Linked DNA regions of Elephas maximus indicus. The protein of the gene in region 1 purifies or fractionates together with the protein of each later gene. This does not show direct contact. Links are inferred from orthologs where the notes say so. Each region holds a gene or a part of one and is shown on either strand. Other genes may lie near its edges.

Evidence for each region. The genes of interacting proteins can lie anywhere in the genome.
Region 2: the proteins of TLE1 (region 1) and FOXG1 purify together in Homo sapiens (affinity purification with western blotting; 3 studies listed by BioGRID and IntAct, with this or other methods). This does not show direct contact. The link is inferred for Elephas maximus indicus from reciprocal best matches to the Homo sapiens genes TLE1 and FOXG1.
Region 3: the proteins of TLE1 (region 1) and HES1 purify together in Homo sapiens (affinity purification with western blotting; 4 studies listed by BioGRID and IntAct, with this or other methods). This does not show direct contact. The link is inferred for Elephas maximus indicus from reciprocal best matches to the Homo sapiens genes TLE1 and HES1.

What each region holds. Positions count from the first base shown.
Region 1 is NC_064827.1:98,616,021-98,623,560, forward strand, and holds the start of TLE1 (transducin-like enhancer protein 1), read right to left. Parts: upstream 3,005-7,540; 5' UTR 1,644-3,004; coding exon 1,620-1,643; intron 853-1,619; coding exon 752-852; intron 1-751. UniProt on the Homo sapiens protein: Transcriptional corepressor that binds to a number of transcription factors. Inhibits NF-kappa-B-regulated gene expression. Inhibits the transcriptional activation mediated by FOXA2, and by CTNNB1 and TCF family members in Wnt signaling.
Region 2 is NC_064828.1:41,100,652-41,106,957, reverse strand, and holds FOXG1 (forkhead box protein G1), read right to left. Parts: upstream 2,235-6,306; 5' UTR 2,145-2,234; coding exon 669-2,144; 3' UTR 576-668; downstream 1-575. UniProt on the Homo sapiens protein: Transcription repression factor which plays an important role in the establishment of the regional subdivision of the developing brain and in the development of the telencephalon.
Region 3 is NC_064819.1:20,827,597-20,835,103, forward strand, and holds HES1 (transcription factor HES-1), read right to left. Parts: upstream 3,076-7,507; 5' UTR 2,826-3,075; coding exon 2,718-2,825; intron 2,587-2,717; coding exon 2,491-2,586; intron 2,257-2,490; coding exon 2,169-2,256; intron 1,520-2,168; coding exon 972-1,519; 3' UTR 508-971; downstream 1-507. UniProt on the Homo sapiens protein: Transcriptional repressor of genes that require a bHLH protein for their transcription. May act as a negative regulator of myogenesis by inhibiting the functions of MYOD1 and ASH1.

The sequences.
Region 1 (7,540 bases):
GTTATTTCGTAGCTCCAACCAGCTAAGACTTCATAAGAGTAAGAGGAGGAACTAACGTTTCTGTAAAGTCCACCATGGGCCAGATACTTTACAGTTTTCACTTATAAATCATTTCAAGGCAGGTATCCTTAGATGAGAAAACTAAAGCTGAGATGGATATAAAAGTGTGACTCCAATCTCCTGTCCTGCCCAAACCTATTTAGAAAGATGCCAAAGCAGAGAGCTTTCTCCTACACACTACCCCCTCCCCCACCCAGTCCCAATCAACGCCAATGATGGACACAGCTAAAAGCATCTAGCCTTCCACGGTGGACTTTGCCTCAGACAATCCAATTCCCTAGTATGACAAGCAGTTATTTCAACACTGGCTTTGCCTCCATGAACCCACACTCCAGGGCTAAGGCATCGATTGAATCAACGTTTTAGCTCAGCCTGTTGCAAAATAACTAAATGAAGTGCAAATATTGACGGTTCTCATGCAACTCCTAAATGCACGAAAAAGGACTCCCTGGAACAGCAGCAAACGGGCAAAAGGGAAACAATGGAAGCAGGAGGAGACAAGAGAAGAGGCGGCCTGGGAAGAGCCAGGAAAGGGGGAAACGTGAATGACAGGTCTTAACTTCGACTCCACACGCCACCGCCTGGACGCACGTACTAAGTACAGCAGCCGCCACCGGGCTGGGCGAGGGGCACCGGGACGTTGCAGATGGACTCCTCGACAACCACTCGCACGGCGCGGCCGGACACGCACCTGTGATACTGTGCCTGCAGGAACTGGAATTCCTCCTTGATCCGGTCCAATGACTCCGGGATCGTGAACTTGAAGGGCTGGCCTGCAGCCTGGTGCGGCGTCTGAGGGCGAGCATCGAGGGGGACGGAGAGATAGGGGTGCGGGCAGATAAAGCAGTCAGTAAGAACAAGGAGTGAGTGGGGCATAAAAACAACAATAATAATAAAGTTAAAAATGGCCCAAAACGAAAACCCGAACTGCACTTTACGACTCACTTTGGAGAGAGAAAAGAGGACACTTCCCTGGCCCCCAGCTTCTAAAGAGGCTCAGAGTCTCTTCCAGCCTTCGGGAAGGTTGGCGGTAAGCGCCCCCAGGTCACATGGCCGAGCAAGGGGGGCTCCCGGAGGCCGGGGCGGACCGGGTCAAATTGTCGTCGCCGTGCCTGGTCCCTCTTCCCCACAGGGGCGATAACGACCCCCGTAACCGCAGGAAAAAAACAACTCCCTTACGCTCCCCGTTCCCAGAGTCGTCGGGGCCACCTCCGGGGGCGCCGGAACGGGGGCCGCATTGACATGTAAATAAGCGAGACCAGAAACAAAGGGGGGCGCCCCCAACCGAACTCGGAGAAGGGGGGAGGATGTGGCTGCGGGAGAGAAACCCCAGCCTCCCTGGGCGCCCCCTCTGCCCAGTCTAGACAAGTGGAAGGAGGCCAAGAGTTTCAGCCCACTCCCCACGCTGAGGAGGCGGCCCGGGACCTCCCTAGCCTCAAATCCGTGGAGGGGTTCGCTAGGTTGTAACAACTACCCATTTCCCTATGGCAAAGGAACAGTGCCTCACGCACCCACAAACCTGCCCCAACGTCCCCCCCACCCACCGGGCCGCGCCTCACCGGGTGCCGGCTCTGCGGGAACATAGCTCTGGCGGCGGCCGCGGCTCTGTTCCCGGGCAACTGAATTCTCCGCTCAATTTCCAACTTTAATCCCGCCGAGAAAAATTAAGCCGAGAAGGCAGGCAGAAGCGGGACACGCAGGGGGCGGGGGGCGCCCTGGCCACGCAAGCAGGCGCGCTCGGCGGGGCGCACCGGCCACTCGGCGCCAGCGGCTGCTCCTGCTCCCGCCGGTGCGGGCTCCCGGGAGCGCTCAGGGCCACATCACGGGCCCCCTAGGCCCGGCAGCTCCAAGAACCTGCGCGGCGACGCTGGCGCCCGAAGAGTAGGCACAGGGCCCACGTTCCAACCCTCGGGCCTCGACTGCCGGGGCGGGGAGGTGGGGGCTCGGCGACTTCGGCCGCGCTCCCCTCGGCGATCCGAGCGCGCGGCGCCCGTCCTGGGCAAACAAATCCAGGCGTGTGGCTTTTCTTTGCTTTTCTCCTGGTCCGTCTCCTCTCTGGATTTTCCCCGCGGCGGCGGCGGCGGGCGAGGTGCAGGTGGCGCCCCGGCTTACCCCACACAAACAAACCCAGAGACTATCGTAGCCGACCACTGGCTACGCCGTTGGCCGGGCGCTTGCTAGCTGCCTAGAGGCGGCGTGGAACGACGCCGGGGGCGCGGTGGAGGCTCCGCGCCCTGCGCTCCGCAGCCTCAGCACAGCCCGGGGAGCGCGGGATGACGCCGAGGCGGGGAAAGTGCGGAGGGTGCGCCGGGAGGAGGCTCGGCACGCCCCGTGCGCCCGGCACTCGGTGTTCTCTGCGCTTGCACAAACCCTCCCGGCCCGACGGGGCTACTCCGCGGAGAGCAGCCCCGCAGCCGTCCGCTGCTCCTCGAGCCCCAGGCGCATCCGGGCGCCGCGCCCTGCTCGTAGTCGCTCCGCACGGCTGCTCCGGACCGTTCCTCCGAGCCCCTTCTTCGATCCTCTTTCTTTCCTTCTCTTCGCTTGCGCCTCCGCAAACGGCGCTCCGGCCGGCTGCAAAGTTCTCTCACGACCCCGGGGATGACATCAACGAGATAGCGGGGAGAAAAGCAAGAGTGCGCGCCGCTCGGCCTCCCTCTTCGGCGGGCAAACTCCGCGGGCGAGCCCGGAGTAGCCGCGGCGGCGGCAGTTGGCGGGGTTTGGTCGCCGCGGGGCGGCGGAGATCAGGAGTGGTGGCGCTGGTCCCGCTCGGTGGGGGTGGCGCAGTCGGCCGGCTCGGGGGCGCGGGGTACCCGACGCTGCTGCTCCTGCAGCCGCCGCCGCCGCCCGCGCCTCTCGCGCCGGTTACATTAACACGCGGTTTCACACTCCGGAGCTAACCAGCGCCGGCCCCGCCCAGCCCCGCGCGGGCGGGGGCGCGAGCGCGGAGCCGGCGGGGGACGCGGGCCCGAGCGAGGAGGGGCCGCGGAGAGACCAGCGTCAGCCAATCGCGCGCGCCGCGCCCAACGTGGGGTGCTGACGTCGAGACTTCCCGGAGCCTATGGCAGCGCAGCGCCGGACGGGCAGCCCGCGTCTCCCCTTCTCTGCCGCCCCACTCGCTTCCATCTCCGCCGTCTCTCCTGTCTCCCCCCACCCCCGCTCCTCCTCCGCCAGCCGCGTCCTCCCGGGCTTGGTGAGGAAGTGTTCCTGAAGGAGCCGCGGGACTCTGGAGCCAGCCAATAGGAAGCGGCGAGACGCGGAGATTGGCACTGAGGATGGGAAGGTCGGTGGGAAGGAGAGCCGCGAGGCCGGGCTGTCAATCAAAGTAACGTGGGGCCAGCGAGGGAGCGCGCGAGCGCGCGCGAGCGGGAGGGACCGGCGAGCGTGCAGTCGCGGAAGCTGGGGGCTCCACTTAGCAAAAATCCTGCCACTTGTTCACTTTTTCCTTCAATGAAAATCCTCAGATCTCAGTAACTCAGAGACTAACTGCGTAGCTTCTTATGAGGGGGAAGAGGGGAACTCTTTGATATTTCAAGCCAAACACGTCTTTCGGTGCTGGCCCCTTGTTTGATGCCATTCTTTTGAAAGTGAAAGGTCACATTCAAATATTTTTGCGGTTTGTTTGTTTTTTGTATTTTTTTCCGGAAAGCTGCCTTTTCACGGATGCGCGAGGAAGGGTGAACTGTGCAGTTGGGGGAAAATGCATAATGGGCAAAGCTTTGACTGGCGTAGGTACACCAGCCGCATGATGCCCACTCGGCTTTGCACCCAAAGTTGTAGAATTTGATTCTTATTGGAGGATTTCAAATACTTTGCAAAAAGGTTCACCTGCCTTCGTTTGGCGGGAAGGATCCCCAAGGTGCCGCCAGGGTAAGGCACGCGTGTCCCAGGCGTAGATGCGATGCTCTGCCCGGGGCGCGAAATCTCGGTTCCTTGCCTTAAAAGTCCAGATTTCGCTATGTGTGTGTGTTGGGGGGGGTGGGGGCGGCGAGAGTTTTAGGAGCCTTGCAGCAACATGACCACGAGTCTGTTTCCAATTCCTGGGAACAAAGGGAGACAATGGAATAAACCAACACTGAGACCTGAAAAACCTGTCCCGCCCACCCCACCCCCATAGTTTGGATGGTACCCGGGCTGAGCTGTATAAGGAGCTAAATGGAAAGAGCTGAATAAATGACATGGCTAAAATTCTTAGGAGATGAAACTTGAGTTAAAAAGGGATTTTCAGATTTTTTTTTTCCTAGCCTTTTTTTAAATTGTACTTTAAAGATTTACAGAACAAATGGATTTTGAGATTTTTAAATAAATAGAGCATGTTGTATAATTAATATTAAGAGTCTCCAGTTTTTCTCTATTTCTCTAAATACACCACACGGCAGAAAACCTTCAATGTTGTCACGTTTCCACTTTTAACGGACAATTCAGATAAGCTATTTCCACATGATCCATGAGTGAATAATGCTGTTTTATCCAAGTAATAATGACTGCTTTCATGAGAAACACCCATCTTTGACAAGCATTCATCTTATGTTAGAACCTAACAACCTAACAAATTTGGGGTATTAATAACCCCAAGTTCCCTTTTTTTTTTTTTTTTTTTACTTTTAAGAGACTTGTGGGAAGGCACATACCTAAACACAAATAGATTTTATTCAAAAATATACAGAGACTTTTTTTCTTGAAATAGCCAATCATTTTAGATAATACATTTCACTGGTTCGTTTGTTTTAAAATACTGATACTGATTTAGCCATAATTGCATCAGTCCTAAATACCAATTGTAAATGAAAAAATAAAAGTGATTTTAGGCAGCCTGCATAGGCCATAGCTTAAACAAGTTCAGCAGTGTAGCTTTGCAGCACTCTTTTTAAGTGGGGTGAGGGAGAAGGTTATATTATTCTTTAGCTAACAGTTAACATGGAGTATGAAAGAGAAGGGAACACTGCCTCTCCTTTAATGGTTAAATTTGGTGACGAGAAGAGCAGACTTGCTCCACAGACAGAACTTTTTAAAATCATGGGATCCGTGGGCAGTGAAGCTTTGTCCTGTGGCAACCTGTGTTCCTTGAAATCATCTCCTAATGGTGGTGCCATATCCGCCAGTGTCCGGTCAGCTCATCTCGTAATCAGCTCCAGGACTGGATGGAAGGTGCTTGCGTGCCACGAAAATGCCTGTAGGCGCTGGGACAACTGTGGTAGCTGACACATCTCCCTGGTACCCAGTTTTACCTACCTGAACTTGCTGACATCCCAGTAATTAAGCATACAGAAAGAAATTAAAAGTGTATTTTGGGACCGGAGCAAGAAGTATTGCTCCTTCTCGTCTCTCGCCACCACACACCCCTCAGAATCAGTTCTGACATGTTGTCCTTAAATGTTTTCTATCATAGCTATTCACTCACTGTTTGCCGTGGGTAAAAATTGTGATTTCTCTTTTGACTAGTGCTTTCTTACCAGTGGAGTTTAAAACACCAGGCCTTCTGATTTACTTAAAACGGAGTTTTTGGAGAAAAGAAAGAACAATGATTTTAAAATTAGAAGACCTTCATTTGTAGCTTAAAAATGCTTGGTTTTCGGTGGCTTTCTCACACAGAGCATCCTCCTTGAGAGGGAGAAGGCTCTGCCTCTTTTCAAGGTCGTATTTTCTCCGTGATTGTCATGCTGAAATAATTATACTACAAAACTCTCATCAAACTGCATCACAAATGATGGTGTTTAAACAATCAAGTAGCTTTAATCTTATGTTTTAAATGAATAATATATGTGTAGATTGCCTACAGTCTGTTTAAAAGAAAATAGTTCTACTCATGAAATCTGTAATTTTGGTCTTCTGTCACTGGGTTGGGTTTTATTTAAAGTCTGTTAACCATAATCTTCTTTACCTTTAGCATATTCATATGTTGATGATGATTTTACATGAAATAATGTCAAGTATGCCACTTTCACAGGAAATTGTCTCTGAAAAAAACGGTATACTTTTTCATTTTCCGCAGAGGACACAGAAAGATTGTCAGATAGTTTATTTTATCATAGATGCGTATATGGGTATATTTCCATTCATTTGCTGCTGAGTATCAAACATTTCAACTCACCAGTAGCATAAACAAAAACACAGAGGTACAAATCCTTTGCCGTCCAGTAGATTCCGACTCATGGCAACCCCGTGTGTCACACAATAGAACTGCTCCATAGGGTTTCCTTAGCTGGAATTATTACAAAAGCAGATCTCCAGGCCTTTCTTCTGTGGTGCCACCAGGCGAGTTTGCACTTCCAGCCTTTGGGTTAGTAGTTGAGTGCAAACTGTTTTTGCCACCCAGGGACCTTATATCGATAGTATAAATAATAAGCAGTTATCAAAACTAGGTGATAGTCTAGGTGCTAAACACAACAGGAAAAATTGTGGGTATTTGATCATAGAAATTATTCATCTTCTTTTAAATTACTGTTTTATTTGAAATAAATAATGTGCCAGTCTTTGAAAAGCCACCTTTGTCATTATCTTTTTCCTTTTAGCTGAGTTATAGTTTTATATATTTGACCTTTTTTTTTTTTAAAACTGGAAGTTTCCTTTAAACCCAAGGATATAGGATCCATAAGCACTTTTCCCAGCATTGCTTTTTAACCTTTTTCTCCCCGCTTCTTTGCCAAAGAACAAGGGAGAGGAAAAGAAGGAGAGAAAGAAGGCAAAAAAGGAAAAAAAAAATCAGTAGCAGATCCATGAAGCAGTAAAACCTCAAATAAAATTACATCCAAAGAATCTCTTGTGGTTTCACACAATATGGTAAAATTAGAGATTGCAGGAAACCTAAACTAAATTGAACTGGGAGCATTTGAAGAGAAATGAGTAGACTTTATGAAAATGACACATTGACTGGCCAGTATGCTTTTTTTTATCAACAATTTCTTTGTTAAGACGCAGATCAAAGGAACCTGCATGTGTTTTCATTTTGTTCTAAGTAGAAAATTACATCCAGATGTTTAATAGGCATTGGGTTGGTTTTTCAGCATTGATTAGATATGTTGGTTCTGTTTGCTTACAAGTGTAGCCGGATCATTAGCTAATGCAAAGAAATGTTTGCTGTGAGTTGCTAATTAGGTCTTTTGGAAATGCTCCACGCTCAAGAACAATTTGTACAGTGGCCAGGAGAACTTGTGGGACTTGGGGGAAGTTTTTTTCCCTTCTCTGTGAGGGTGGGAAGAGGCAGACAGCCCCATCCCCTAATCTCCCTTTGCCCTACGGGGATTGCAGTGCGATCCCCTGAGGATTGGAGTGCAAATAAATTAGGACAAGAGACCACACAGGCACTTCCAAACACAGAGATAGATATGTGTGCTCTTTCTGAAACCACAGCCTGGCTGTCTTTGTGGGTGGGGGGCACGAACCTCTAACACTGAACATTAACACGTGGAAGATGCTTGATGCTAATGTTATCAAATACACAGCATTTTTAAGCATCCTTTAGAGACAGATGGGGAGCCCTTTA
Region 2 (6,306 bases), on another chromosome or scaffold:
AATTCATTCGAATGGGCAGTGCTGCCAACTGAAACAACTTTCCTTTTTTTTTTTTTTGTTTGTTTGTTTGGTTTTATTTTTTTTTTAATACTTAGTATACCGAGTGCATTTTCTAGAACCCAATCTTTGGTCTAAAAGTAAAAAAAAAAAAAAAAAAAAAAACAGCTCTTTAAAGAAAAGGACAAAACAATAAATGGCCAAAATAATTTCTTGGGCACCTTTACTACGAATGCTTCTTAAATACAAATTACAGTTTAACATTTTTAAAACTCTCCCCATAATTTAGGTTGTTCTCAAGGTCTGCATCCACCATATAGATCCATGATAACTTATAATACTGCACACATGGAAATCTGGCGGCTTCGAGATAGACTTGTCAGGTTTGAATGAAATGGCAAAGCAGTCACTATTTAGATACACATTCTACTGTAATTTTGACTTCCAAACCTTATTATATTCTACAATGTATTCTCCCCACATTGCACCTCGCTGACACTCCACACCTTGTTAGAATAATAAACAACCCTAAAGACTGAACAAACGTACAGAAATGGGGTGGGGGTGGGGGTGGGGCGGGCTTAATAAAAAATACCTGGACTTATTTTTTAATTATCATTTACAATGCAAATGTGTGTAAAACGTTCACTTACAGTCTGGTCCCAGGGATGTTAATGTATTAAAGGGTTGGAAGAAGACCCCTGATTTTGATGTGTGAAATAATCAGACAGTCCTCCAGACAGTCCCGTCGTGAAACTTGGCAAAGAGGGTCTTAAAGACTCACAGGGCAGGGTCGAGGGGGCCTGCGGCGACGTGGAGGAGGACGCGGCCCGGGCGCTCATGGATGTGCTGCTCTGCGAAGTCATTGACGGGTGCGGGACGTGGGGGAAAAAGTAACTGGTCTGGCCCGCAAGCAGGTTGACCGAGCAGGGGTTGAGGGAGTAGGTCCCGGAGCAGGGCACCGACAGGCCGCAGGGCACCGAGGCGGCGAGCGCGGCGGCCGTCAGGTGGTGCGTGGCGTACGGGATCTCCCCGTTGACCAGCCGGTCCACGCTCAGGCCGTTGGCCGTGGAGAAGGAGTGGTTGTTGCCCAGCGAGTTCTGAGTCAACACGGAGCTGTAGGGCATGGGGTGGCTGGGATAGGCCGACGTGGTGCCATTGTAACTCAAAGTGCTGCTGGCGCGGGGGTGGTGCAGGGACAGGAAGGGCGACATGGGCCAGTAGAGGGAGCCGGCGCGGTCCATGAAGGTGAGGCCGGTGGAGGTGAGGCGCGCCCCGCGCTTGAAGGCCAGCTTGGCCCGCGACGTGGTGGAGCGGCGCCGCAGCTTGCCCGTCGTGCCGCCGATGAACACGTCGTCGCTCGACGGGTCCAGCATCCAGTAGTTGCCCTTGCCCGGGTCGTCGTAGTGGCGCGGCACCTTGACGAAGCACTTGTTGAGGGACAGGTTGTGGCGGATGGAGTTCTGCCAGCCCTGCTTGTTCTCGCGATAGTAGGGGAAGTTCTTCATGATGAACTCGTAGATGCCGTTGAGCGTCAGCCGCTTCTCGGGGCTCTGCCGGATGGCCATCATGATGAGCGCGTTGTAGCTGAACGGCGGCTTCTCGTACTTGCCGTTCTTCTTCTCGCCCTCCTTGCCCCCCTCCCCGTCCTTGCCGCCCTCGCCCGCCCCCTTCTTCTCCTCCCCCCCGCCGCCGGCGCCCTTCTCCTTCTCGTCCGGCCCGACGGGCGCCAGCTCCCCGGGCCCGCCGCCCGGCTCGCCCTTGCCGCCCAGCCCGTCCGCTTTGGCTCCGTCCAGGGCGGCGGCCGGCGGGGGCGGCGGCGGCGGCGGCGGCGGGAGCAGCAGCTGCTGAGGGCCCTTGTCGTCGTCGGCGGCGGCGGCCGGGGCGCCCCGCGCCTGGGGGGGCTGCGGCGCCGGGGGCGGCGGCGGCTGCTGCTGCGGCGGCGGCGGCGGCGGTTGCGGGGCGGGCGGCGGCGGGTGGTGGTGGTGGTGGTGGTGGTGGTGGTGGTGCGGGGGGTGGTGGCTGTTGTGGTGGCCGTGGCTGGCGTGGTGGTTGTCGTTCTGGACCGCCTCGGGCACCAGGCTGTTGATGCTGAACGAAGACTTGGGGATCATTTTCACCTCTTTCCTATCTCCCATGTCCAGCATCACCCAGTCGTCGGGGGGAAACGGCGGCGGCGGCGGCGCGGGAGCGGGGCAGCGGCGGCGCGTCGGGCGGCGGTGACCGGTGGGTGCCGAGCGGGGCGCGGGCGGCGCGGGCGGCGGCGGCGGCACTGAGCGCTCCGGCAGCAGCGCAGTTGGACCGCAGGCTCGGGCGCTGGCAAGTCATGTAGCAAAAGCAGCAACCACCCCTCAGGAATTAGAAAAAAAAAGGGGGGGGGGAGAAAAAAAGAAAGAAAGAGAAAAAAGAAACAACCACCGCCCCGGGGGTGAAGATCCCTCGCTCCCAACTCTACTTCATGGTCTCCCCCCCACCCCCCGCTCTCCCCCCCTCTGCTGCTTCCTCCTCCTCCTCCTCCTCCTCCTCCTCTCGCAGCAGCAGTCACAGCAGCAGCAGCAGCAGCAGCAGCAGCAGCAGCCCAAAGGGGGGGAGAGCCGGGCTGCGGGCGGGCGCGTCCCGGAGCGGCCGCCGCGAGGCTGGGGAGACAGCGATCGAGGCGGCTATAGCCACAATTAATTTGCAGAGCTACAGGCGCACACTAGGGCTGTAAAAAAATTTTTGGTTTAACCTTTCCTACCGCTGGGCCAATCAGAGCCGGCGGCGTGCGGGAGCGTCTGTCTCGCTGTCGACCAATCGGCGGGCCCGCCCCCCCGCCCCGCCCGCCGGCTCCCGCCCCCTCGGGCGCTCGGCTCCCCCTCTCGGCGGGCCTGGGACCTCGCGGCCTCACCGAGCCGCGCAGGGATACGGCGGCGGGAGCACGCCGCGCCGCGGCCCTTGCCCGAGCGCCCTGCGGCCCCGCACCCCGCCGGCGCTGTTCAGCCGAAATTCCCCTCTTAGGGCAAATCTCTCACATGTCCGGCCTCCTCACTGTATTGGTTCCTTTTCCTTGGAGCGTCAATATTTGTCCTTATTGATTAAAGTTTGTATCCAGTTTTATTTTTTAAAAGCCGGGGGGCGTGGGCGAGGGAATGGACAGTGGGAGGAAGGGGAGAGGATGCAAGGAGAGGGCAGGAAATGGAGCAGGAAGAGGGGAGGCACCCCTCTCCGGAGTCTGCCCCGCTGGCCCGGGGCTGGCATCTCCGGGCCCGTAGGACAATTGTGCCCCTTGTAGGTGACGCTCGAGCGAGGCCGTGGGTGGCGGGGGAGGGCGGGCCCAGCCCTGGCGTGGGGGCGGGGGCCCTTCACCTCGGGGGAGGAGGGTCGGGAGAGGTTTGGGAGCGGCGGGCCGGGGAGGAGGAGGAGGAAGTGGGCAGGCGAGCGCGGGGCCAAGCGGGGGTTACTTACTCGGTTCCCGCGGCCCGGGCGGCGGCGAGCTCGGGCTCGGGCGCCGCGGGGAAGCAGGGCCCGGGGCTCCGGGCGCGGCGGCGGCGGGCGGGGGCGGCTCAGTAGTGGGCACCTCTGATGGCCTTCGGAAATGAGGGGTGCCCAGAAAGAAAACAAAACCAAACAGTCTCGAAATAAACCAGGTAACACATGCTCTGTGTGTCTCTTCCTTCCCTTTCTTTCTCTCCTGCTCCAGACCGTCGCTCACGCGCGGGGTGGCTCGGTGTCCTTTTCTCCTCGCTGCTCCAGCTTCTCCTCCGCTTCTAATCCGAATTGGAAGCGAGTAGCCGCGAGCGATTACCCAGGAAATGTTTTCTTTTTGCTTGTTGACATAGGAGGGAATATAGGGGTGGGCGTCTGTTTCCTTTTTTGTTTTGTTTTTAAAGCCTTCCTATTTTCCACTCCCTCTTTCTTTCTTCCCGTTTCTCAAATGCTTTTATTTTGCGCGGGCCTCAATCCTGAAATAACCGCATCCAGAAACCAGTCTCTTCCCACTCCCGGTGCTGCTGGGAGGCTCCTAGGAGCCATGGGAACGTGGGTCCCAGGATCCCAGCTTCCTGGGCTTTGGGGCTGGGAGGGTTTGGTTGAAGGCTGAAGTGACTGGGGAGATTGCGATTCGGGGGCTTTAAAAGGATCCCGTGGCCAGGGGCAGGGCTAAGGCCCTGCATTTCCCAGGGATTGGAATCTGGTGCGGAGCACACTGATCAAAGGCTGTTCATCCCACATGAACACGAAACACCACATTTTATGGAGGATGTAGCCCAAGAGAAGAGGGAGGTGAAGCATAAATGAACACCTTTTCCCTCCTTTGTAAGGTAAATAGTCGTCATAAATGTAAGCGTTTCTTCACTTTGAGAATAAACCCTCCGTTAAATTAAATGGCAGTTAAGACATTTAAGAAAAATGAGGAAAAAAGAGTGGTGTTTATGCGTGATGGTTGAAATTAAAGTTCAATTCTAATTGAACTAGGAATGCAATTGATGAATATTCAGGTTAATAGGGGGTTATTCCACTCTCCCGACCCCCACACCATGAAATTCTAAGAGAGTTGACCCCAGAAGGAATAACAGACAATTACAAATGGCTAGTGATTTTTAAATATGTATGTGTTAGGAATGCCATAAAGGAGCTCTGAATATTGGACTACCTTCAAATAACCTTCCACTGTGTTTATGTATGTTTTAAATGTCTACACATTTCTTTAACTTAAACTGTATTTACGTATGGAACAATTCAAGGATTCTGGCAATCAATGTTGATAGTGACATGGCCCCAAACATTGATCCCAAGTTCAGGATTTCTCCTAGAGCCCCGTGAGCTAAAGGGCTGGAGAGATGTATGGGCCTACCTCTCCCTGCTCAACTCTCCTCCTCCCACTCTTCTCAGCTCCTCAGGCCTGTTCTTCCTACTTTTGCTCAACTCTCTTTCCTCCCACCTCACTCCTCCCCCTTTCCTCCCTCATTTCCCCCACCCCTTCTCCCTCCCTCCATTCCTGTCCCTCTCCCTCCATTCCTCCATCTACTCCTCCCCAAGTCTCCCCCCAGAGCCCCCCTGCTCACCATCACTTATAATGGCACACAGGGCTCCCTCTGAGGTGGACGGCCCGGTACGTTTTCGTAGTCGGTCTAGCGTGAAATGATTCGGTGTAACCGGATTCTTGGGAAAGGACAGGTTACGTAAACATTTACTGCTGTGGAGTAACTATACTATTTGTACTCTGATATGCAGGAAGGAAAGTGTTGATTAACACAGAAGAAAAAAAAAAGCGAAATTAGCTGATTGCATGCTCATAAGTGCAAGCTGTCATTGAACTGCTTTTAAAATAGACACAGCTGGGTGTTTGTGTTGAAAAATTTCTTGTGTTTTTGCTAATACTGAAATAAGCATGATTTTGTATACCAAACATTTTCAGATCATTAAAATTTGTAATCTGTGCTGGTTTTAAACACAAAGAAAAGAAACAGAATCATTTCGATGTAAAATTTGCTGATATTATATTAACTCAATCAGGTCTGTACAAATTGTGCATTGTGCCTCCTAAAATCTGTTTGATCAATTTAATACACAAAGTGCCAAACGTGGGTATTGTTTGTTAACATTGGGCATTTTATTCAAATCCGAGCTCAGCAGCAAATTGGAGGAGCGTTCCTTGAATGCAACACCCGCACTGACTGATGAATTTTTAATGTTTTAAGGTGTTTCTTAGGTCAAAGCTGAGTGTGCATTGTTTTATGATCCTGCATAAAATTTTAGCAGGTGAAAATAAGTTTTTCTTCTGTTTACTTGCAGATAGCAAAAACTGAGTTCTGCTAATGAGAGCTGTAATAATCTGATTTCGCATGCCAGGAGCTTATATGGACTGGGAAAATGTTTTTCATGCAAATTAAGAATGCAGTATATTATTTTAAGGATTGCATGGATACAAGTCTCTCAAGTAGGGTATTGGTGTAGGAATAAGCAGTATATAGTCTTGGATAATTGTATGAGGAACTGTTATCCCTAATGACAAAATTCATTTGCAACTTTTGGGGAAGTGGTTTGAATTCCTCCAAATAATTTTAATTGCATTTTATATGGAGATAGGGTGATATATATAAATATATATATATATGGGGGTAGGCTTGCTCAACAAAAGATGCAGTGTTTACTCAGGGGCCCACGTTTGTCTCAGCAATGGCTTCCTTTTAGAACTGCTACTGGCTGAAATGGGGTGGGGGGGGGAAGGAGGGAGTTCTTGGACAGAGTATTGTGCAAGTTGAAAGTCCCTGGATGGGGCTTTGTACATCCTAACAGCCAATTTGGGTACAAATTGGATTTGAAGGCCTG
Region 3 (7,507 bases), on another chromosome or scaffold:
TGAACTAATTAATGAAGTCCCCGACCCGGGAGGCTGCGGTAGAGTGTTTTTACTTTGGATATTGGTAAGCTACCCGAGGCAGTAGCGCTGCAGACCCATTGCCATGGAGTCGGTTCTGACAGCGACCCTTTAGGACCGAGTACAATTGCCCCACAGGGTTTCCAAGGAGTGGCTGATGGATTCCAAACGCCTACCTTTTGATTAGGAGCCTGAGTTCTTAGCCACTGCGCCACCAGGTGCCACCCTTAACGTGCAGTGGACCATGAACTCAGTGGCACTTAGCCTTCCTCAGAAGGAGCTAGTGTGAGAGCCAGGGCTGAACTGACTTGCTCAACTGCAACTTTTAAAAAATGTATATCCTTGAAGAAACCACGAATTGATCAGAGAAGCCATATCTCGTGAGTTCTTGTAAATTCAGTGGAATTGAGTCTTCTAGCTCATGGAGGATTGGTAAGAGGTTTGATAAGATTTTTATAAAAAGTTGTTTTTAATAACAAAAGAGCCGATTACATTAAGAAAAAACCCCAGATTACATGTAATTCAAATTCTGCCTAGGGCCTCTTTACATATTCTGAAATAGTCAATTCTAAGACAAAAAAACCTGCACTCTTTTTTCTTTTATTATATTTTCTCAAATAAACTTCCCAAAAGGAAGACATTTTAAGAGCATCTTCAAACATCTTTGGCATCACATAAAAAAGAAATCTCGTGTAAAAAACGAAATGTCATCTTAACTTTTATAATACAAAGGCGCAATCCAATATGAACATATAAAATATATACAAATATAGTGCATGGTCAGCCACTTAAAACAGCTCTCTACAAAAAAGTAACCTTTTAGAAATTAAAAAACCGAAGTAACCACTTAATCATGAAAGTCGTCTTCTCTCCCAAGGTCCAAGTCCCTGTTTAGTGTCCGGAGGGAAAAAAGGTGGGTTGGGGAGTTTAGGGGGAGGGGTGGTCTGAGCCGCTCAGTTCCGCCACGGCCTCCACATGGAGTCGGCCGTGAGCGAGGGGCCGCTGGAAGGCGACACTGCATTGGGGCCCACGGAGGTCCCGCTGTTGCTCGTGTAGACGGGGATGACCGGGCCGCTGTGAGCAAAGGCCCCGTTGGGGATGAGGAAAGCAAACTGGCCGTCAGGAGCCGGCACAACCTGGAAGCCGCCGAATACCTTGGCCGCCTCGCCGGCCGGGCTTCCCAGCTTGCAGGGAGCGCCGCCGGGAGGGGGCGCCGCACCCCCGGGGATGGGCACTAGCGGCGGCGGCGCGAATGGCGCGTGCTGGGGGCCCCCGGGGCCTGGCGGGGGCGGCGGCGGCGCCTGCAAGGCGGGGTGCGGCTGCCCGGGGTAGGTCATGGCGTTGATCTGGGTCATGCAGTTGGCCAGGTGGCCGAGCAGCCGGGTGCGCACCTCGGTGTTAACGCCCTCGCACGTGGACAGGAAGCGGGTCACCTCGTTCATGCACTCACTGAAGCCGGCGCGGTACTTCCCCAATACGCTCGGGTCTGTGCTTAGCGCGGCTGCGGGTCAGAAGGAGACAGGCGGGTCACCGAACGGCCCCAGCCCCGGAGCCACCTCCTCCCGCCCTGGGAGGTCCCCGCGGCGCGCCTCCCTGACCGCGGGCCCGCGGAACTGCCTCTGGCTGGGGGTGGATTTAGAAAAACCAGTCACCTCGCCACACAGGCGAGGCGATTAAAGCAGAGTCTCTCTCTCCACTCCCTTTTGCTCCATTTAAACGCACCGCAGTCCCAGATCTGCCCCCTCCCTCGCGCGCGTGGAGTGACCTTGGACAATGCGCCCCTCCGTCACCCGAGCCTCATTTCCCCATCTGTAAATTGGGGAAGGGAGGGTGCTAAACCAGAAGGCTCCCAGACTCCGTGCAGCTCAAAACCGCTGCGGTCCTAAATCCTCCCGCCCCCACCAGCTTCCCCTACACCCGAGCCGCCCGCCACCCTCACGGCTGTAACCTCTCTACCTCCCTCCCTTTTCCGAACAGTAACAACTTGGGAGTTGTGGCTATAAATAAGCCCCAGACCGTGGGAACGCTAGCCTGAGCCAAGGCAGTAAAATGTAGCTGAATGCCTCTCACAACCGCGGGCGGAAGTCTGGAAGAAATCACCGCGGGACCAGAGGGACGCCTGCAGAGGGGACGCGGCAAGCCGCCCTCACCCGTCATCTGCGCCCGCTGCAGGTTCCGGAGGTGCTTCACTGTCATTTCCAGGATGTCCGCCTTCTCGAGCTTGGAATGCCGCGAACTCTGCACAGAGGAGGCGAGGGGAGGAAAGTGAGACCCCTGCCAGCGGCCTCGGAGGCTGGAGTCCCACCCACTGCCACCGCGCCAATATCCCCGACCCTGCTCTCCCGCCTCGGAGAACGCAGCGTTGGCGGAGAAGATCCCGCCGGCAAGCGGGTTTCATTCTCAGCCGCTGAGAAATAGTATATGTTTTTTAATTAAAAAAAAAAGAAATAAAAGCAGCATTTCCTCACTTACGTCTTTCTTAAGAGCATCCAAAATGAGTGTTTTCAGCTGGCTCAGACTTTCATTTATTCTTGCTCTTCGTCTTTTCTCCATGATAGGCTTTGATGACTGCAAAAAAATAAAAAACAAAACCTGAGTTCCCAAGGGAACTGCCTTTTCACCCCGAAATTTTAAGGGAGAAGGGTCCCCTCATCAACCCATTTCTTGGGGCTCCGGAGAGATACGGGTACTGGTCTTACCTTTCTGTGCTCAGATGCTGTCTTTGGTTTATCCGGTGTCGTGTTGACACTGGCTGGGGTGGCAGCCACCGGGGACGAGGAATTTTTCTCCATTATATCAGCTGGCATTTTCGTTTTTGTTTTTTTTAAATCCCTAGAGAATTATATATTTTGACTCCTTCACATAAAATTCTTTGTTTATGTCTCTTTTATTTGAGACTTTCACAAAACTACTGAACAAATGCTGAGGGTTTATTTTAATATTTTATGGCTACTTGGTGAGCAGTAGAGTTATTCCAGGACCAAGGAGAGAGGTAAAGGGGGAATTCCGCTGTTATCAGCACCAGCTCCGGATCCTGTGTGATCCCACTCAGCCCTGGCGGCCTCTATATATATCTGGGACTGCACGCGAACGGCTCGTGTGAAACTTCCCAAACTTTCTTTCCCACAGTAACTTTCAGCCAATGGGAGGAGGAGACACGCGGCACCGCTCGTGGACCGCGCCCCCCCATTGGCCGCGAGGCGCAAGGCCTGGCGACCAATGGCGCGCGCCTGAGCCCGGGGCACCAGAGGCTACAACGTCAATCAAAAGGATTTTAACCCTTTGGTACTCTCGCCGCCAAGCTTTGCATTAAACATTTTTCCGCACTGGCTTTGGTCTAGTCTATTTCTTTTGGTGCTAGGGTCTTTGCTCTATTATTTCTCTTTTCTATGTTTAATAGAGCTTCTTCCACTGTATAAGAAGCTTATTTAAAAAGTATTTTTTGAAAAGCAGAGATAAAAATTACTAGCAGCAGTTAAAAGGGGGAACGCGTGTACGGGTGTGAATTACTGAAACATCTAAGGGATTTCCCGCTCAGACTTCTCTATACATTCGGGGGGGGAGGTGAAAGCCAATCCAGTGTGAAGCCGGCATTTGCATGCAGAAAAAAGAAAAAATGCCTTCCACCTTACACAAGTTTTTTCCGAACAAGGCAGTTCTTTAATGCCCCCCCATCCCGTCCCCAATTATTCTCCTGGGGTTGGGCCCTCGAACCCCATGCTTTCCTACGAAACAATCAGAATAAATTTCCAACTGGGCAGAAAGGAAATGGAATTTCAAATGAAAGATGAACAAGGGGGGGGGGGTTGATGGCAGAGACTCACGCGCCTCCTCGCCACCCTTTCCCTTCCCACCCGCTGGCTCTCGGTTCTGCAGCAAATAGAGGTGGCAGACCCGGCTGCAGCGCCTCTCTCCTTCCCACCCCGCGGGCGGCTGGGGCAGTCCTTGGCTCCCGGCGCGCGCGGGCCCTTTAAGAGTTGCACCAGCCGAGCTGCAGTTTGACATCAGCCGGCCGGCGAGGGCGCGCCTGGAGCCGGAGCACGTGCCAGGATGTTTTATTGCCGCCGCGGCTGCGGCCGAGCCGGGAGGATGTGTGTGTGCGTGCGTACGTGTGTGTGTGTGTGTGTGTGCGCGCGCGCGCGCCCCGGGGGCAGGGAGGCGGGGGGCGGCGGGGGGCGGCGGCGGGCGGCCGAGCGCGGGGGCTGGTTCCTGGTCCCTGGGAGAAGCCAAGAAGGTAAATAGCAGCTGCTGTGCTCGAGCCTGGGAAAACCCCGCCCCCTGTGCCTGGCCCGGGCTCATTGGCGCGCGCTGCGTGTGGGGTGTGTGTGTGTGTGTGTGTGTGTCCGGGGGCCCCCTCCTCCAGCCCCCGCCGGGCCTGGAATCCGAGGGGGCGGCGGGCTGGGAGCTGAGCCCCGGCGCTTGTTCCCCCACCCCCTTCCCGGCCAAGGTCAGCCCTTCCGGACGGGGAGCGCACGCCCCGTCACGGAGAGGGGGAATTATCCAGCCCCCCCGTCCACCCTTCACCCCAGTTTCGGGCTTGGGGTTTTAACCCGGCCGAAAGCCGCACTCGCAACAGCCCGCGGGAGGGGCGGGGGCCTCCCGCTTTGCTCCTCGCCCGGCCCTGCCCCCTCCGCCCGCGGGGCCCCCGGCGCCCGCCGCGGTCACGGGATGCCTGACCGCACTTAGGAAGCGGCCGGGTCAGCTTCTTGCCTCCCCTCGGCGGCTGCGGTTAAAGCGGCTTCGCGCCGTCCGCCCCTTCCCCCGGCCCAGGGCCGCCGGGCGGGCGGCTCCCCCTCGCTGCGCCCGGGAGGCCGCCGGCGGGCGGCCGGGAGGAGGCGGGCGGCGCGGGCGGCTGCGTGCTGCCGGCTGGCTGGGCCGCGCGCCGGGAGGAGCCGCCGCCGCCGCCGCCGGGTGCCACGTGGCGGGCGCCGGGCCGGGAGCGCCAGGGCTCTGGCGGCGGCCTCCCTGGGGGATTTGCCGCGCGGGGCGGGCGGCGCGCACTGCCCCGGCCGAGCGGCCGGCAGCCACCCCTGCGTCTCTCCCGCCCGTCTGCCCGGGTCGCCGGGCCCCGCGCCCCCGGCCCGGTCCGCACTTCCCGGCGCCCGGGCAGTCGGCGCGCGGCTCCCTCGGCTGCGGGGGAGCCGAGCGTCCTGTTGGAAGTCGCCCCCCGCCCTCCCAGCCCTTCCCCCAGCCCCGAGGCCGCCGGAGGCCTGGCATGCATTGCTCAGACACTTCATTCCTTCCTTCCTCCGAGCTCCCCACTGAGATAATGTTGTGAATGGTTTCACCAGATCTCCTCCCGGGTGAGATTCGGCGGTTCCTGAGTCTGGGTGACCTTGGGCAAGCCCTTCTCTTTCGTAGTGGAGGGAGCACACGCTCTGTGCCACACACCGTGTTAAACCCTGGGATTATACGGTGGCAACCCGCAAGGAGTTTACAGTCAACTTCGGAAACAGACCGACCCTGGTTTTCTGAGTGGGGACTCGAGCTTTTGTTCATTGGAGAGACCAAGCCTGTTGCCATGGAGTCAATTCCTACTTATGGCGACCTCATGTGTTAGAGAGTAGAACTGTGTTCCATAGGATTTTCTTGCAGATTACCAGGCCTGTCTTCTGTGGTGCTGCTAGGTAGATTCAGACCACCAATCTTTAGGTTATTAGTGGACAACAAACCATTTGCACCACTCAGGGACTTCTTGGGAGACCAGGAGAACCTAAAAGAAGCACCAAACCACACCTGTATGAATAACAATATTGTTGCTGTATTTTGGGGGGATACAGGCACGAATACGAGTTATTGACAGCTCTTGCCCTCAGGAAACCCACAGCCTGGCAGACGTAGTCGTGTACACACATATATATACGCGTATATATATAAACGCATATAAAGAGCCCTCGTGGCACAAAGGGTTAAACATTTTGCACAGAGAAAGGTTGGTGGTTGGAACCCAGCCAGTGGCTTCTCAGGAGAAAGACTTGGTGATCCGCTTCCATAAAGATCCCAGCCCAAAAAAGCCTGTGGGACAGTTCTACTCTGTCACATGGGGAGGTTGCTCTGAGTGGAAGTTGACTCGAGGGCACCTAGCAACAACGTATAAACGTATATTCATGCATGCAGCTGATATCTATTGATTTTCCAGGGTGTGCATCTGGTAGATCCGAGGTTCAAGAGAGTTATATGCTGAAATAGAGGTAAAATACTATGAAGATTCAGGAGAATTAAATTGGTCATAACTTTGGATATCTTTGGAGCCCTGATTGGGACGGTAGTTAAGAGCTCAGCTACTAACCAAAAGGTCAGCAATTCGAATCCACCAGCTGCTCCTTGGACACCCAATGGGGCAGTTCTCCTCTGTCCTATAGGGTCACTATGAGAATCAACTCGAAGACAGTGGGTTTCTTTTTTTTTTTTGGCTGTCTTGGAAAACTTCCTGTAGGAGATGGCCTTGCTTTACACCTTGGAAAACAGGTAGATGTGGGAAATGGATAGGATAGGAAAATAAGTAGTGGTGAGTCATAGGGTTGGGGAGGATGGAAGTGCCAATGGCAATAAGGCCCAGACCCTGGATTTGAGGTCTTTATTCACGGAACAAGGACCTGGTGGCGCAGTGGTTAAGCTCTGAGCTGCTAACCAAAAGGCCTGCAGTTTTAACCTACCAGCTGCTCCACTAGAGAAAGATGTGGCAGTCTGCTTCCATGAAGATTCTGGTCTTGGAAACCCTATGGGGCAGTTCTACTCTCCTGTATGGTAGCTATGATTCGGAATCGACTTGATGGCAGTGGGTTTGGTTTGGTTTTTGGTATTCAGGGAATGTGGTCTGGAGCCCGGGCTGTATCATAGGCAGGAGTATAACAAGGGGCTGGAGGAGAAGGTTTGAGGCCATGTCTCAGGACACTTACTCCTCACTAAAAGACTTTGGACCTTATCTTTAAATGATGGAGAGCTGTCCTGAGCAGAGAAGGGGCATCAGGATTCTTGTTCAGAAGGATGGCTCCAGCAGAAGTGTGGAAAGCGGAGTGCAGGGTTTGGAGGCAGGAAGGCCGTTTAGGAGTTGCCAGCAGTTCCTAAGAGGCAGATGACTCTGATCCGGAAGCACCTGCCTAGAACCAGCTCACCTGGGCGTTGACTGCATTGCCCAGTGATCCGAGGTCCGCAGAAACCTGCCTTCCCTTTAACAGCAGGTTTCCAGTTCCCCTACAACCCCAGCGTATAAATAAGGAATCATTGTGGTTCTGACTGTATTTACCTTCCAGACCTCATTTCCACCTTCCAGGAGAGCCTTCAAGTCTGCAGCCAAGTCTTTACCTCATCACAGGCTTGGTTTACTCACTCTTGCCCCTTGGGCAACTCTCGGGGATTTTTTGTTTTTTCTTCACACGCTGCAGAGTGGGTTGTGCCCTATCATGTTCTGAAGAAATGATGAACAATGCCCCCTTTGTTGACCTGCATCCTGGGGCCATGGGGGTAGGACTTTTTCTTCCTGTTTTAA